Nothobranchius furzeri: one gene and its partners. The protein of the gene in region 2 purifies or fractionates together with the protein of the main gene of each other region. This does not show direct contact. Links are inferred from orthologs where the notes say so. Each region holds a gene or a part of one and is shown on either strand. Other genes may lie near its edges. The genes, in order: serine/threonine-protein kinase Nek9, ambra1b and hspd1.

The links.
Region 1: the proteins of ambra1b (region 2) and serine/threonine-protein kinase Nek9 purify together in Homo sapiens (affinity purification with mass spectrometry; 3 studies listed by BioGRID and IntAct, with this or other methods). This does not show direct contact. The link is inferred for Nothobranchius furzeri from reciprocal best matches to the Homo sapiens genes AMBRA1 and NEK9.
Region 3: the proteins of ambra1b (region 2) and hspd1 purify together in Homo sapiens (affinity purification with mass spectrometry, with the first as the bait; 3 studies listed by BioGRID). This does not show direct contact. The link is inferred for Nothobranchius furzeri from reciprocal best matches to the Homo sapiens genes AMBRA1 and HSPD1.

What each region holds. Positions count from the first base shown.
Region 1 is NC_091758.1:32,478,353-32,484,191, reverse strand, and holds the start of serine/threonine-protein kinase Nek9, read right to left. Parts: upstream 3,960-5,839; 5' UTR 3,727-3,959; coding exon 3,538-3,726; intron 2,150-3,537; exon of another isoform or gene 2,138-2,149; coding exon 1,960-2,137; intron 1,892-1,959; coding exon 1,836-1,891; intron 1,754-1,835; coding exon 1,683-1,753; intron 1,611-1,682; coding exon 1,505-1,610; intron 1,431-1,504; coding exon 1,299-1,430; intron 1,207-1,298; coding exon 1,096-1,206; intron 1,016-1,095; coding exon 951-1,015; intron 878-950; coding exon 827-877; intron 747-826; coding exon 554-746; intron 468-553; coding exon 323-467; intron 250-322; coding exon 49-249; intron 1-48. Other genes in the region: asialoglycoprotein receptor 1-like, read left to right, coding at 4,617-4,737, 4,923-5,018, 5,322-5,564, 5,645-5,799.
Region 2 is NC_091744.1:80,389,474-80,395,383, forward strand, and holds the start of ambra1b (activating molecule in BECN1-regulated autophagy protein 1B), read right to left. Parts: upstream 3,376-5,910; 5' UTR 3,147-3,375; intron 767-3,146; 5' UTR 714-766; coding exon 582-713; intron 1-581. UniProt on the Homo sapiens protein: Substrate-recognition component of a DCX (DDB1-CUL4-X-box) E3 ubiquitin-protein ligase complex involved in cell cycle control and autophagy.
Region 3 is NC_091754.1:36,097,665-36,103,650, reverse strand, and holds the start of hspd1 (60 kDa heat shock protein, mitochondrial), read left to right. Parts: upstream 1-2,655; 5' UTR 2,656-2,789; intron 2,790-3,736; 5' UTR 3,737-3,738; coding exon 3,739-3,912; intron 3,913-4,341; coding exon 4,342-4,677; intron 4,678-4,763; coding exon 4,764-4,859; intron 4,860-4,945; coding exon 4,946-5,039; intron 5,040-5,116; coding exon 5,117-5,285; intron 5,286-5,393; coding exon 5,394-5,493; intron 5,494-5,581; coding exon 5,582-5,827; intron 5,828-5,899; coding exon 5,900-5,986. Other genes in the region: MOB-like protein phocein, read right to left, coding at 2,123-2,125. UniProt on the Homo sapiens protein: Chaperonin implicated in mitochondrial protein import and macromolecular assembly. Together with Hsp10, facilitates the correct folding of imported proteins.

The DNA of each region.
Region 1 (5,839 bases), on a different chromosome or scaffold from region 2:
CTGAAGTTATTAAAGCACAAACAAACAAACAAAACCACAGAAGCCTACCGTATTCTCCACAACCCCATGAGAAGATGCCATCATTATGAGTCAGCACCACCACGTGGTTGTCTCCACAGGAAACCTGCCGGACACACCGCTCCACGAAAAACTCTAGAAGCACCGGCTCCAAGACCTCCATCCCCATCTCGCCCTCGACTCCGATGCAGCCGTAATAGTCCGACCCAAACATGTAGAGCTGGTCTTCGTCTGTGAAGGAAGCAGAATAGTAAATGAAGAGTTCCCCGTGTTCGTGTTTTAGCACGAAGCTCTCTCAACCCACCTGTCACACAGGCAGTGAAGTCGGCCCCACACGCCACCTGACGTATCGCCTTCCCTTGGAGCTTCTCCACCCTCTTCGGCTGTCGGTAGGACGCCTGGTCCCCCTGCCCCAGCTGGCCCACCATCTTGGCTCCACCTTGAACATTCTAAAAGTGTAAAAAGAAAAAAAAATAGATCAGTAAAGATTAAACAGACCAGTAGATCTGTTAGAAAGTGAGGAATTCCTCCTTACAGCCCAGGTAAACAGCTCTTTTTCCACAGTCACCACAGCAAAGTGACTCTCTCCTGCACAAACATGCTGGGCACTGCTGCCTCCTTTGAACGAGTCAAGCTTCTGGGGGGTGAATTTTCCTCCTCCCCAAAAATACACCTCCCTTGTGCGCGTGGTCACCACAGCAACGGGTGTCTCAGTCACTGTGCTCAGCCTTTGGATGAGACGGAACAAACCAGTGCCATCAAACTCGCACAATATCAGGGAGGCTTTAAATGGTGGATGTGAACTTACTTTGGTTTCTTCATGGCAGAATTAAGCATGACAACTCGCTCTTCCAGCTCCCTGTTCAAAAGTAATCAGAGTCATTCATGTTTACTAGTAGAAAATTTTAAAAATCGCTTTTATAAAATCTTACTGTCGGCAACAGGCGATGAATGGCTGATCCAGGATCTGCTCAGCTGTGGGCCTCTTTGCAGGATCCTGCAACACAAAGATCCCCTCATTCTCAAGTAAGTCAGTTTTATTTATCCAAAACAAGAACGGATATTTCTCCTACTCACTTGATTGAGGCAATCATAAATCAACTTGATTATTTCACTTGAATAAAGATCCGAGTTCACTTCCATAGTCCAGTTTCCTTGGACTATTTTCACACAGAGGTTCAGAGCATTCTACGTGGAAACAAACTACAAATGCATCACAGAGGAAGAACGATCCGATGTAATGATAGACATAATAAAGAAGAGACGCTAGTTAGACGTACCGTTGCATCAAATGTTCTTTTAAATGTCAGAACTTCATAAAGTACACAGCCCACTGCCCAAATGTCGGACTTGAAGTTGTACTTTGTGCCTTGGCACACTTCAGGGGACATGTAATACGGAGTTCCCACACACTGGACCAAACAAGAACAGGTCGAGATCAATGCTGGGTCATTTCTGCTCACATAAAATATCCTGATGGACGTACCGTCTCTGCCATCGAAAACTCAGAGCCTAGCTTCTTGGCGAGGCCGTAGTCGCCCAGTTTAATGAGGTTGGTCTTGGTCAGAAATATGTTTTGAGTTTTGATGTCTCTAAAAGAACAAAAGACCATTTATTCACAAAAAAGAAAAACATAGAATATTCACATAGTTTACAGATCGTACCTGTGTATGACCCCGGCGTTGTGAATATGTGCCACTGCTGAGGCGATTTGGTACAGATACCAAACAACAAGCTACGGAAACATTTGAAATATTACTCACTTCAATCAAAAAGGTTGTGTTTTCAATAAAACACCTACAAGGATGCTCTCGTACCTCCTCAGTGAAAAGTTTCCCTTTCTGCTGAACAATTTTATCATACAGATTTCCTCCTGCAATTATAACCTGTGTTAGCATTTGTTTACACATGATGATCATCAAGAATAAACCAATTAATTACCATTGCAATACTCCAACTCAATGAGCAGAGTGTTTTTATCCATGAAGTGATTGAAGTAGGCGATGATGTTGTTGTGCTCCAACATGGAGAGGATGCTGATTTCGTTCGTGACATCTCGACGCTCCTTTTCTGAGAGCGAGTTCAGGTCCACCTCTTTCCATACGACCAGAGAGTTGTCCTAGACAGAATACTAAATTACCAAGTAAGGTTCAAACAAATTGTTCTTTTCTGTCTCTCATGTTTTTGGACGGCCCACCAAACAGACCTAGCCAAGAAATCTAGACCAACCGTAGCAGTAGCAGAAGATTTAGCCTAGTTGGTTGGTCTAGCTGCACATAGTAGCCTCAGCAAGGCTACCATTGGCTCAGCTAAATTTAGGCCAGCCCACTCTAGATGTTGGAGCGGGCTTAGTACCATGACGGCAGAGCTCTTTTTTTTATGACAACAGAGCAAAACAACAAAGATGGCAGCAGCCCAGGAACGGCGCTCAATTAAAACAGCTTTGGCATCAACTCTGGATGATGTAGAATGGGGCTTTTCTTTGAGGCATAAGCAGATAGAGGTATGTCTTTTTATTCAACAGTGTGTGTGGCAGACTGCCACATTATCTGATTTCAGTTGCCATGAATGCATCACATTGTTCATTGCTCTGATTGGTCCTAGCGTTTTCCACTTGCATGCAGAGACAGATTGAAAGACAGCCATAGCGTGTGCCTCGTAACTGAGCTCTGTCTATGGGTCGTTGTGGCCAGAATATATATTTACATATATAGGACAGGTTGCCAGGCTAATACAAACCCTTTAGTGGAGTAGATGTTCGTTGGTCTTGACCTGGGTACTGTATGGTTCTTTCTATGCAGTTATAACTTATATCTATGTTCACTGAAAATAATGTATTCCTCTGTTGTGCAGACAACAAATGAGCAGAGGATTTTAGTTTAGCTGCAAAGAGATCTAAAGGATGGAAAAGGAGCTGTTTATATTCTATTTTGACATAAACATGACAAAACAAGTCAGGGGTGTCCAATGTTGTCAAGTAATGGGCCAAAATTATCAAGTTAAAAGTCCTTGCAGATCAGAAAAATGTAATTCCTTTCATTTAAAAAAGTCACTTTTTAGTTTTAAGGCCTCATTATAGTAAAACTAAACAAACAACCAAAGATCCAGTCAAAACCAACGATAATGAAACTAAAATTTGGTAATGCTGACGGGGTCGCACTAAATTACTCCAGGGGTCCCAAGCGGCCCCTGAGCCACAATTGGACATGTCTGCTCCAAGGCTTCTTTAGATTGTTTTATGTTCTTCAATATAACAAACGTGGATTGTACACAATGTGTGCAATCAAAATAAGCTGATTTGCACAAAAGCTACGTATAAATACAAAAATACTGTATGTCTGAAAACCATCCCCAGGAAAATGTCCCAAGTTGTTTATGAGCTTTAATGTATATTACTATAAAATAAGTGTTTGAAGGGTTGTAATCAACCAGGAAACTTATTGTGGGACAATATATACTTTGTGTCATCTGTGATTTAAAAAAATATAAATTTATGGGTCTAAAATGGGTCCAACTTACTTCTGTCCTTCTGTACAGGGTTGCTTCACCAAAAGCCCCCCTCCCGAGGATCCGGATAGGAATGTAATGCAACTTCTCCTCTTCTCCAGCAAATAAGCCTGAACTTGATCGTTCACTGACAACAGACCCACCGCCACCCAAATCCGAATTCAGCGAGTCAAAATGTCTCTCATAGTCCTCCAGTGACATTTCTGCCGACAATTGTTAACCAGACCCACAGTGATGGAAATAACACGACGAGGCCTAGCGAAAACACTTTTGGAAAACCTCGCATAAAACCGCGCGCACGTGTAACATGGTGCCCCAGAAATAAAGCTACGTAAAAACTATAAAATAAACTCCTTAAAGCACATGTGCCGTGGAATACCAAACATGTATCGTAGCAAAATTTGTACAAGTACAGTAGTTAAACAAACATCAAGCACGAAACTTTGAAAGGACTCTACTTGGATAACTTTTCTTTGGATTTTCAAAACAAATGTTTACAATTCACACACAAAGTGATACACTTTACTCTGAAAGGTTGTAGGGTTTGTTTCCGGGCACACTTTCGGTCCATTCAACATTTAGCTTTATTAAGCTAACAAGTTAGCCACCAAGATCAGCTCCAGCTACCAAATCCTGAAGTTTGTAGTTACTTTTACTCTGTTTAATAGTTTTAATAAACTTATGAGTTGAGTATGCAAGTTACAAACATGTTTACAAAGATTTCCGTTCAATTTTGACTAGTTTGCCCTAGTTTCTTTTGACCCGGAAACAATCGCAAAATGTTCAAATCTGCATAAAATGTAGTTCAAATTATGGCATTTTTAAATTCACATTTTTTTATTTATGTCAGCAGGAATCCAGTTGTTTTACCTGACAAAAATAAACAAAGTGCTGGTTATTCGTAGAAAAGTAATTTAAAATGATGCCTTATTATAAACCTGTAAAACAAATTAATAAAACTATTCTAACAAACTTGTAAAAAGTATGTGTCAAATGAGGCCAATGAGAAAATCATCAGTTCTTCTGAACAGTCAAATTATTAAAACATCTGACCAAACATAAAAGGAGAACAAATTCCTTATCTTCCGCTCATGAGTATAAAAACGTTACCAACCAGATTATTCAGCAGTTCCTTCAACACCACAGTCATGGAGCAAACATACAAACGAGCAAATGAATTCCGCCACAGACTCTACAAAATATTTGGACAAGGTATGACCTGTTTTCTTAACCAAAGTTCACAGAAATTCCCATCAAAGGCTTTGCAAAATCAAATATGTTGTAGAAATTGCTTTTTCTTTTCTATTTAATTTTAAATAAAGCAAGTAAGCTACCCACTGTTCAAAATTACATGAACAATTTAACAAAAGTCAACATTTTATGCTTAATTACTGCAGGTGGATACAGTTTTGAAAACTACAACGTTCTTAATCTGTGTCTGGGACTTCTGAACGTTGTGTTACTCATAGTTGCTGTTGCTCTTAGTGCAAACTGTAAGTATCATTCACAATGTTCATCAGGATTTCATTTATAGCAATTTGCTAAATGTACTTTTATTTTTGTTGTAGTCCTCTTGCAGAAATGTTTCAACATCCCTTAAAGTTAGAAGAGATAAAAATACAATTTTTGGTTTTTCCTCATGAATTGTAAAGATCTGAAACAATAAAACTTTCATTATAATCTTATCTTGGCTGTGAATATAATTTTATTTACCTCAAATTTATAAATGACAATCTTCAAGTTTATTGTTTGTGACCCACTCCAATTGTTTTACAAGTGTGTTTTCATTTCTTCAGGTGCCAAAATCAAAAAGGACTCCCTTCAGGTTTATCACTCTGCAGCCTTACAGCTGTTCAGCAAGCTGAACGATCTCTGTAGCAACCAGAGCACTGGGATTGAAGCTGAAGGGACAATGCAAAATTATACAAAAGTAAAGGAGCAAGTTCATCAGCTGAATCTTATCAATGATGGTTACCAGAGACAGCTTAAAGCTCTGCAAGCAGAGAATACCAACCTACTGGCCAACTTGTCAGCTCTAGGTCAGACAGATGTGTAATGCAATTCATGATTACAATTTTTGAATATGTTAAGACGACACAAACATATTTCTTTGTTCCAGGTACATCTTGTAGCAGATGTTCTTCTGGGTGGACTCATTTCAACTCATCCTGCTACTACTTTTCTCCGTATGAGAAGAAGACCTGGAGAGACAGCAGAGCAGACTGCATCAGACGTGGTTCTGATCTTGTTGTGATTGATAATCAGCAGGAACAGGTGAGTTAGAAAAATAAGTAAGAAAAAATTTGCAAAATGC
Region 2 (5,910 bases):
GCTGTGGCTCGTTAAATGCAATATTGCAACTTTGGTGCATAAAGGGTTCATTTTACAGTCCTCAGCAAGTCTTATAAACCTGCACATTTATAATTATTACTTTAATTTATCATTTATTATTTAATGTACACGAGTATGCTCAAGTGAAAAGTTTGATTTTTAGTTTTAATTTATATTGTGTGTTGTTGTTATGTCAGTGCTACATGAACACTTTCATGGTTTTGTAACTGATTTACTGCAATGTCTCGACTTTAGTGAGGTTAGTACACATCGTAGCCAGAAATAATATGGTTCTAATTACTGACATGATCATTTCTTCTGGTGTTTTGGTTTTGGTTTCCTCATTTTCCATTTTGGCCAAGAATTGTCATTTCGGTGCATTCCTAGTTTGACCTTTTCGGCTCCTATCCTTTGTCACAGGTGATGCTGTGACGACCAAAAAGGCCAAAATAAAGCTTTTACTACTCTGAGTAAAAGATAACCAAAAAATGGAATTCAAATAAATGTAAAAAATAACATTTCTGAAACAGAAAATGTCAATTTATTGTTAATAACTAATAGCACAATCATTTCAAACACACCTGACTCTGCCATTTCATCCAGCGGACCTTCTCCTCCACCAGCAGCTGCAGGAGCCTCTGAGAGCCAAAGTTCTGGGACCCCCGCTCCCTGCTGGACAGGATCTGGACCGAGTTTCTCTGATGGGACGTCATCCTGGAAATGAGGGGGGTTGACTGATTATGTGACTCCCACTGAAGTCAGTCAGCTATCGCCATGCAGAGGATGAGAGAAAAAAAGCAGCTCTTCAGTGGGAGCACAGACTTAGGGGAGTTGAACCAGCAGTTCACTCTGTCCAGCACGGAGCTGGGATGTTGCATGGAGCTCAACACCTAAACTAGTGTGTGGAGTAAAAAACTATCAGAGGCTCAAACTAAAGCCCAGAATCCAGAGAGGTCCTCTACAGTCAAGGGACAGTGGAAATGAGCCGACACATCCTGAGCATAAACCATGTATAATATCCACTAAATTTAAGAAGACTTGCTTTTCTACATAAAACTGCAGTGTGCCAAATAAATAAGTCAAATAACAAAACTGCGCCAACTGTTGAATGAAAAAAAAACATGGACAAATAACACTATTGCTCATGGAAGTTCTCTACATCTCAACTTTGAAGTTTTCTTTGTCACACCAACATGTTTACAGATGTGGGCTTAAGGGAGGACCGCTGGCAACTTCCAACTGTGCCGAACAACCTTTCAGATGCAGAGCTGGTTGCTGGAGTGCAGAGGTATTTCTTAGCTAATCTGCTGATGCTGGGAAAGTTTGCAGTGTGAACTTTCCATCACAAAACAGGATCACACTGACTGGTGGGCTATTCATAGAAGTTCATCTGCAGTTACATCTGTCTTGCCACTAACAGGTCCCTTCAAAAAGCTCCTGAGACTCTTCTTTGGCGTTTTAGCAGCTCCCTGACTTGTTTGGTCTACAGCAGGTGTAGGAGGCGTTTCTGAAACACCTGTGGCTGTGCTACCTTGGCATGACATTCTAGTTCACGCGTGACCTGAACTTTGACGGCTTCACTCTCACTGATATATTCTGTAAGAAAAGGTGGATGAAGAAGAGAAGCCATGCTAACAAGCCTCTCTGTTACGCTGTTTTTGCTTCTGCTCATGTAGTCGAGTATTGTTGTTTTGATTAGTGGCCGGGCGATATATTCAGTTTGTTCTCTGTTGGCCAAAGTTGTTTTTAAAAACCAATTTAAACATTTCAAAAATCAGGCATCTTTGTACACCACTGCCACCACAATTCTAGCATAGAACCTTCCTTTTACTCACATAGTTTTATGCTAAGCTAAAGCTAAGCGTACTGCTTCCAGATCAAGAGAACGACGGAGCTTGTTAGCTACAAAATGCGTTCCCTCACTTATCTAAATCTAACAAAATTTTACTTCTGAGTGGAATCTACTGTTAGGTTTGGTTTGCATATTTTTTTGTAAAGTTTAGATAGTATTTCATACTACAATTTGGTAGTGTGCTTTACTTTGTGATTTGTTTTTACTTGAAGATTCTACCTCGACCAGCCACTATTTTGCACCATTATTCTGGGAACTGTTTATTTTAAACACTTTAATCTGTTTTATTTTCTATTGTTCTGAAACCGCTAGCTCATTGTATGATACCATATGTATACACATATATATATATATATATATATATATATATATATATGTATGTATGTATATATATGTATACGTAAGAAACCTTGCAGCAGCATTCTGTACCAATTGGAGGCGTACCACTGAAGAGGAGGGAATACCATATAAAAGAGAATTGGCATAGTCCAGACGTGTACAAAAGCATGAACACCTGACTGAAGATCTTTTTTGTTCAGGACAGATTTTAGTTTGGCCAGCCGGCAAAGATTAAAGAAACACGACCTGACTACCTGATTTATTCCATGATTTCTTTATTAACTACAATTGCTTATTTGTACCATGCTTTAATTTCAGCGTGCAATGTGACATTAAACTGCATCATTTCCAATAAAAACTGGAAAAATTGGGGCGTTCCAAATCTTTTGACAGGTAGCGTAGTATGTATGTCGATCAAAATAAAGTACGATGAAAAGTAATGAGTGGGTTCAACACTAACCTGAAAGATGGAAAATGATTTAAAATGTTACCTCAGACAGACTTTCTGAAATGTTTGAGCATTTTAAAGTGTTTCTGAGTGTTTTTCTACCTTTTCTCTTCTGTATAAATCAACTGTTACCTGTTAATAGAGACAGAAACCACCAAACAATGAGGCCTAACCCTACCCTGTAACTAACCCTGATCTAACCAGTAACTCACCATCTCAAAACCCGACACTTACATAGGTAGTGCGTTATCCAACTTGTGATTGCACAAACAACCCTTAACTATTTCAGGTTTCAGTCTGATTATTCCTCTCCAGGCTCAAATACATCCTTACGTTGTAGATTGCAGACATTTTCAGTATTTAACCTGTAGAGATCACAGCTCTGTTTACATATTAGTACATTTAAGCCGCAGATATTTTGGCTTCAGATATAAAACATGTTTTACTACAAACAGTTGGACTTCACGTATAAAATCCTGCAATGAAAGCGCAGATACTTTGACTTACCTTTCTTTAAAATCGGCTCCGCAGCTCCGCCATCAACAGACGCTAACAGGCTATCTTCGGTTAGCTCCTTAGCTAGTTCGGCCAAAAATGGGAAATGCGGCTGCTAACAAAACTAAATCTTTAACGGTAACATCCGCGTATCAGTGTTGTTCAACCGAGCACCGTCCGCTGAAGTCAGCGGGAAACGTTCATTTTCATAAAAGGAAAAGTAATCTAGGGTGTTTTTAGGCTTTGGTCCGATGTTTGATTAGCTGCCTAAAGACGGTGCTGCGTAACCAGTTAGCTGCTAACAAGCAGCTGCGCAGGTTTATTAACAGAGCACCGAGTTGGATCAACGGATCATTTTATGTATAAATATCAACCAACTGTGGATATCAAACAGTTTGAGTAAAAAAAAAGGATTTGCTAATTCTGATTTACACAACTAAACCCGATGACAAATCCAATGTATTTATTTATCCTTCACATTGAGAAGTTGCTCTTCTATTTATTTAAACCCCCTAGAAACAGGTGCTTCTTGGGCTTCAAACGCTGAATATTTGGTAAAATGTCAGAAATAAAACCGTGATCAAACACATGTGCACTAGCGTTTTTTATTATAGATAGACTCACTGTGGCCAGATCAGGCAGTGCTGAAAAGGTTACTTTTAAAATGCATTCCACAGAGTACAGAAACCACGCCCCAAAATGTCATTTGTAAGGAGTTATTCAGTGTGAGTAACGCACTCTAAATATTTTAATTACTTAATAAGATTTTTAAAACTACATGAATGTAGGAATCACATTCACATCTTCCTGCAAATTCTTTTTTTTTTTTGTTTGTTTGTTTGTTTGTCTCTACCAATTGGATTCCTGGCCTGCCAGACTCCTCTGTTTTATTCTGCACAGAGAATTAAACTGCAGAATTAAACAGAGGACGAGTCTGGCAGGCCAGGCTACCTTTTGGCCTAAATCTCTCTGAATAGACCGTATATCTGCTGTTTATACTTTATCCTTGAAACATGACAAAATATACATTTGCACAAACCTGAGTACCAGCCTGGTTCCCTCGCCAACCAGCTGCTTTTCCTTGAACTTTTATACATTATGACACCTTCCAACCATGAACGTAAATGTTTGTTATTGAGATGCTCTGTGAAAAACCAACACAAAGTAGCTCAACATTGTGAAGTGGAATGAAATGGATACATGGTTTTCAAAAATCTAAGTAAATTAAAATCTGAAGTGTGTGTATTTGCAGCACAGTTTCACTCCACTTCACATTTTTATGCTTTGTTGTGTTGGTATTAATAGATATTAAAATAAAAATTCAGTTTATTTATAAAGCACTGATTAAAAACAATGTGTACCAACGTGCTGTACAGTAAAAACACATGCTAAATGATAAATAAACCATACGAGACACAACATTTGCAGAAAAATCAACTATTTTGGTCAAACACAAAGCAGGTGAGTGACCGTAAGTGAATCAGTTTGCAGATCTGGGACCAAAGCTTCGTCAGCAGACTGCGATCAGCTGACGTAAGTTTGCAAAGGGGTGTGTGCCATCAGCAGGTCAGACAGATAGCACAGCTCACGACCATTTAGGTGTTTATAAATACATAAAAGAATTTTTAAATGACTTCAATAACAGAGTGGGAGCCAATGCCACTTCCACATCTGGCCTGGTCCTGCCCGGGCTGGGGGGGGGGGGGGGTGTTGTTTGGACACACTTTTCAGGAACGTTGGAATCTCTGAGAACGTGGGCGGGATAAAGATGAGTGGAAAAGTACATGGTGCTATTAAACTACCAGCTCAGTGTCCTAGTGGTATGAATGTCCGCCCTGGGACTGGGAGGTCATGGGTTCACATCCTGGTCAGGTCATACCAAAGACTTTAAAAAAATAGACCCAACACCTCCCTGCTTAAGACTCAGCATTAGGGGTTGGATTGGGGGATTAAACCACCAAATAGTTCCTGAGCGCAGCTGTGTCTGCAGCTTACCGCTCCCCCTGAGGATGGGTCACATGCAGAGAACACACTTCACATCACACACACACATAAGTGTGTGTGACAACTAATGGGACTTTAATTTTACTTAATTAATAATTAATTAACAAAGACAGTGTTGCTTTCGGAGATGCTGATATTGCATCTAGACTGCTGTGTGTGTGTGTGTGTGTGTGTGTGCTCCTCACAGCAGTCTCAGTGAGAGAGACAGAGACGGCTTCAGTCAGAGGAAATGTTTACTCCTCAGTATCCAGAATGAAGATGAATCTCACATGCAGGAAGCCCTTTTTGTTCCTACTGTGTTTTGGTCCGTAATCCATTTTTTGTTCTTTTCTTACAAAGTTTAGTAAAAATTATTTATTTACCTGACATGTTACAGCTAGTAGCTCTAGCCATCCTCAGAGATCGCTGGTGATGGTGGCGCCACTTCCTTTTATCTGCGGGCAGCAGAGGATGGTGTTGCCCTCTATGGGAAGCCCCGCTGCCTGAGTCTACCTGCCGATTGGAGACTCCCCCTAAAGGCAGGCTTGAATTTGAACCAGCCAATCAGTTGGCAGTGCAGTGTTCTCCCTACATAGACTCAGGCGTGGCACTGCACAACGGCTGAAATTCCAGCGCCACACCTACGTGATCCCCCAGACGGTGAAACTCTAGGGTTAGAAAATCCTGAGAGATCTACGTCACACTGTCACTAACATTCATGGATTCACCCATCTGGACTCACGACGGGGAAGGCTGTTGTTGGTTTAGTCCAGGAAACAGCAGAGAACGTCTC
Region 3 (5,986 bases), on a different chromosome or scaffold from region 2:
TCAAAGCTTGGAATTCTGAGTTCATTGCATCATTTCCGGCAAACTTTTCTCAGAAAGTGTTCCGAGGACAATTATGTAGGATTAACTACACACTAGAATCAACACTGTTTGCTATCACCTTCTGTGATGCTACAACTGGAACGCACCATAAGGACTTGTTTAAAGTGTTACAACCATAGACATGAATTCATAGACACCCTATAAGGAGCCTAAGCCACGCCCATCTACTTCCGGACTTTTACAAGCTGATGAATCTCAAAGAACGTGACTGGCGTGGTCGAAACACCCATCATTACTTTTCATTTAAATTGCAGCACAACATATGTGCGATCCAGGGCGTAAGGCAAAGCGGATTAGAAAGTAGTTTTAGCCTAGTTGACTTGCACTCATTTTTTCGTTCTTCTGGTGACCCATGAGCCCACCGGAAAAGCAAGAGACTTCGGCTCCCTATAGGGCGCTGGAGAGCATAGCAGCATCAAATTGGATGGGTCTTCTCACTCTCCAAAGTCAATGCAGAATGGGCAACTACGCCCGTTTTGGGCAGCCTACTGTTGCAACAACATGCGTGCTGTTGAAAACAGATCACGTGGGATTACTACTGACTTTTCTAACCTACCTGATGGGACTTTATATTTTAATTTACTTTCATTTATTTAGTTTATTTATATTTCAATTATCTGGTTTTGTGAAAAAGCTTGATAAAATGTGTTTTTAGTTGAGTAAGCACCTTCCTCGGTAGAAATGAATGTACTAGGGGCGAATGGAGACCTATCTAGCATGGTAGCTGGCCACTACGGCAGCGCCAGTCCATGGGGCGTCTACAAACATGTCTGTTAGAACTAGAGGTGTGCATCGGCAAGAATCTGGCAATACGATATACATCGCAATACAAGAGAAAAGATACAACGTATTACTATGCTAAAAGCCAGAAGAATTTAGCATTTTTAAAGACTGGACTTAATTAGAAAACTCAGGCCTCAGCTGAGCTCTGCTTCAAGACACACCCTGTGTTATGGTGAAATCTCATGGTTCCACCAGAACGACGGTGGTAAAAACTGCTGCCACCTAGCAGTCAGAGTTTGAATTGCACCGCAACAAAAGAAAGACAGTAAATGATTTTATGTATGCACATGCTTAATAAAAAAAATATGATGCACTGCTTTTAACAGAAATTCAGAATCATACCACAAACTATTGCAATAGTTATTGTATCGTTATTTTCTTACATCCCTAATCAAAGCATAAACATAATGAGTGGAAAGATAAAATATTTTTTAAATGCTAACAAAGCAGCTTAATTTAGACTGTGGCTGTGTAGTATACCTACATTTGTTGTTTTACCATTATTTTTCTCTGAAAATATTGTAAAATTATATGAATAAGGGTTATGGTTACGCTAAGAATAATCAAAGGTCACCCATGTACAGGTAAAACTAAAATTTAGAATATGGTGCAAATTTTAATTAATTTCAGTACTTCAGCTTAAAAAATGACAATAGTATGCAAGATAGACTCATTACATGCAAAAGCCTTTACTTGGTATATTTGTGATGATGACAGCTGATGGAAACCCCAAATTCAAAATCATAGACCATGAGATAAAAACAAGGATTTTAAACTGAGAAATGTCAGACATGTGAAGAAGCATGCATACGTTGGTTTGGGCCCATTTCGCCTTTACTGAAATAAATTAACTTTTGCACCGAGTTTAAATTTGTCCAGTTTCACCTGCAATTCAGTTTGCCACCTTTTTAAAACTACCCTCGGAGGGGTTTCAACCCCCGCAGAAAAAAGATCGCAGGTTTGTTGGTGAATTTAACTTTTAAATATGAGTAAATGAAATGCACCACGTTGTTGTGCTGTCTAGCCAACCTGATACAGATGCAACTGTCTCCCTCCGATCTCAGGAGTATCATTAACTCAAACATGAGGTAAAGCTCCTTCACTGCTCTCTGCTTGGCAACGTGACCTTGTGAGTGGATGTTAGCATTCTCTACGTTAGCTACTGACATTTTTGCAGTGAGATTTTAGACTAAAAAACCCACAGACATCCATTTCTGCCTTTCTAACAGGTCCCTGTGCATTCCGCTTGAATGAAACCATTTTACGTGCTAGTTCTTACCATTTCTACACGTGCGAATGGGTAGAGAGCCGGAGACGAGCAGCACAGCAATCAGAACCTGTCTGAAAAGGAGTCACTACACACGAGGAAAGATCCTGAAAACGCATGCGCACTAAAGCCCTCCTCATGGAAAGTTCTGGTACACCCAAGGCGGATTACGAAACTCTCTTTCATAAACACTCGCGTTATTCGCGTAGATTAGAATGGAGTAAAGTTAATCACAAATGATTTCTCATTTATTTAATTGAAATTGAGTTCTCTAAGCAGGCGCAATGTTGCACAATGTCAACTTTGACCTTTGTTTTTTCCTCCAATTGCGCACGAGAACATTCTGGAACTGTCAGACCGGGAACGAGCATAGATAACAATTATTTCTACAAAAGACAAGTAAACAATCACACAGTTGGTCAGAACGCAGGAATACATTGAAAATAAATCAGTTTAATGAAGGATTATTGATGTGAATCATGTCATTAAACGAAATGTAACGCTTAGTTTACACAGGTATGTTTATACAGAGTCCCGGGCGGCCCGGTAAATAACCCGGATGTAGTAGACCATGTGCAGTCCTGTAGCTGCTCTTGCTCTTCTGTTCGGCTGTTCCTCCTCTCCTCCGTACACCAAGCTGCCTGACAGTCTTAGCAAGTTACACGCTCTAACCTCGCAGGTAAGTCGAAAAGAGTTGTTTTAAATGGCCAAACCACGACGTGTGTCTCATTGGCAGCTGCTTCCGTCTGCATATGTTGTCTTAATGTTAACTCATAGTGAGATAGCTGTTCATCTGAGCTCGCTGCACTCCGGCCAAACTACAAGGACATTTTGGTTGAAACGGCTCTACGGCCTTTAACACACATTTGGAATATCCTCGTAACCGCGTTGTTTAATGCTAACCCTTCCACTGTAACGGATTCCGTTTTCTTCTATTTCATAATGAATTGGATCAGTTTGATTTGGCCCACGTGATTGTACTCGCGGCAGGAGTTAATACTCCCCTTCAAGGTGTAGGGATGAGGAGGCTGCTCTGCGCGTGCGGCGTGCTTCTTTTGACCTTGTCAGGCACGAGCTGCAGCGCACGTGGGGGCAACAACCAAAAAATATTTAAAAATATATATATTTTGAAATTCTCTAAAGTTTCGTTACACGTTCTCGTTTGTTTAACATAAAATTATTTTCTAAGAACTTTCTTTGAACTTTTCAGAGAACTTTGAAATCTTTCTGAGTGGTTCTACAGATAAATGTCACGTGATCAGTTTAACTACCAGACTAGTTAAAATGTTCCATCATCAATCTGACAGTGTGTTGAATAATAGCAGGAGATGGGGAATAAGTTCAAATAGGATGACAAAAATGGTGATCAGAATCAGGAATGATTAGGAGCTGTGTTCATGTTTAACTGTTAGGTGGATAAATCATTAGGCAAGCATTTAAAGCCATTACATTTCTAAGAACATAAACTCTCATGGCTAGCTGTTACACGTGAAATATGTATTTATTCCAGGACCAGATACTTTAGTTATCCATTTATTCTGTATAATTTGGTCCATACCATTTATCACAGTTGGTCAATTATTGAAGTGCAACTTTATTAATCTTTTTTTCTTTTCTTTTTTTAAGAGATGTTTCGTTTACCCACAATTATGAAGCAGGTCAGGCCTTTGAGTCGGGTTCTAGCTCCTCACCTCACACGAGCCTACGCCAAAGATGTGAAGTTTGGGGCTGATGCCCGTGCCCTCATGCTGCAGGGGGTGGACCTGCTGGCTGATGCAGTGGCTGTCACAATGGGTCCGAAGGTAAAAAAAAAAATAAAAATTCTAACATGTATTGCTTTATTGTCTTTTATTTTTGAAATATGATCAGTCACTGAGATTTGCATGCAGTCTGAACATAAAAATAGTCTTAAACCAAAAGTTTTCTGCATTTACTGAGAAAAAGGCTGGGGAAGGCTGTTTTGGTTTAGTGGCCAGGAGAGAGTAGAGCACATCTCGGCTAGTAGATGCTAACCATTAAAACAGAAGTCTGAGAGCTTTTATTCCACAGAAGACCTCACAAGGCGTTCATTCTAGAGACCACAGCACATTCACAGAAAAAAATATTAAGACCTCTAAAAGAATAGTAATTTATCTTCTTGCCAACAAATATTTTAGGCAAAAGCGACATTGTATAAAGATGTTTAACCATGGTGTTTGTTATAAAGTTTTTCTCCACTTTTCTCATTTCAGGGTCGCACTGTGATCATTGAGCAGAGCTGGGGAAGTCCCAAGGTCACCAAGGATGGAGTGACGGTGGCCAAAAGTATTGACCTGAAGGACAAGTACAAGAACATTGGAGCCAAGCTTGTGCAGGATGTGGCTAACAACACCAATGAAGAGGCTGGCGATGGCACAACCACAGCTACGGTGCTGGCTCGCGCCATTGCTAAGGAAGGCTTTGATAACATCAGCAAAGGTGCAAACCCTGTTGAGATCCGCCGTGGGGTCATGATGGCTGTGGAAGCTGTCATCAACGAGCTGAAGAATCTGTCCAAGCCTGTTACGACTCCAGAGGAGATAGCACAGGTATGATGAGGTTGGGCTTAATTGTTCATGCTCACCTGAGTGTCTGGAAAGTAAACCTGATGGTTAAATGTGAAATCTCATTTCAGGTTGCTACGATCTCTGCCAATGGAGACGTAGAGATCGGTAACATTATATCCAACGCCATGAAGAAAGTTGGTCGCAAAGGAGTCATCACAGTAAAGGTTGGTCATTGACTCCCTTTGATGGCTGGTCATCAGGTTTAAAACGCATACAGGCCATGGGTAATGTTTCACGTGTCTCAAATTAGGACGGGAAGACTCTGCAGGACGAGCTGGAGATCATCGAGGGTATGAAGTTTGACCGTGGTTACATCTCGCCTTACTTCATCAACACCGCAAAAGGTAAGGCAAATCAGTCTTCGTGGTAGGGGTGGTTTTTGATGTTTAACTGATCTCATGTGTGTTCTCTCTCTGCTCAGGCCAGAAGTGTGAGTTCCAGGATGCTTACCTGTTGCTTAGTGAAAAGAAGATCTCCAGTGTCCAGAGCATTGTGCCAGCGTTAGAGATCGCCAACCAGCATCGTAAACCTCTGGTGATTGTTGCTGAGGATGTGGACGGAGAAGCCCTGAGCACCCTGGTTCTTAACAGGTGCGTCTTGTTTGTTACATGATCCCAGCAGAACCTGGTGAAGTGTTGGACCTCGTCATGGCGTAAGGATTTAAACAGATGGTTACTTATCATTGGTGTGCCTTTCAGGTTAAAGGTTGGGCTTCAGGTGGTCGCTGTTAAAGCTCCAGGCTTCGGTGACAACAGGAAGAATCAGCTGAAGGATATGGCCATCGCCACCGGGGGCACTGTTAGTCCAACTCTCTGATTCAGCGTTATTTTTAAGGCTGGAGTTCGATCCTCGCTGTATGTTATTGATTTTCTCCTCCCTTTTGCAGGTGTTTGGTGATGAAGCTCTGGGTCTGGCTCTTGAGGACATCCAGGCTCATGACTTTGGCAAAGTCGGTGAGGTGCAGATCACCAAAGATGATACCCTGCTACTGAAGGGTGGAGGCAACCCTGCTGACATAGAGAAACGCGCAGCAGAGATTGCTGAGCAGCTGGAGCACACCACCAGTGACTATGAAAAGGAGAAGCTCAATGAGAGGCTGGCGAAGCTATCGGATGGTGTGGCTGTGCTGAAGGTTTGACTTGCTGCTGCTAACAGATGTTTTTTCTGCAGGAACAACAAAACTGACACCTTTGTTGCTCTTTAGGTGGGAGGAACAAGTGACGTAGAGGTGAATGAGAAGAAGGACCGTGTGACCGACGCTCTGAACGCCACGCGGGCTGCAGTGGAGGAG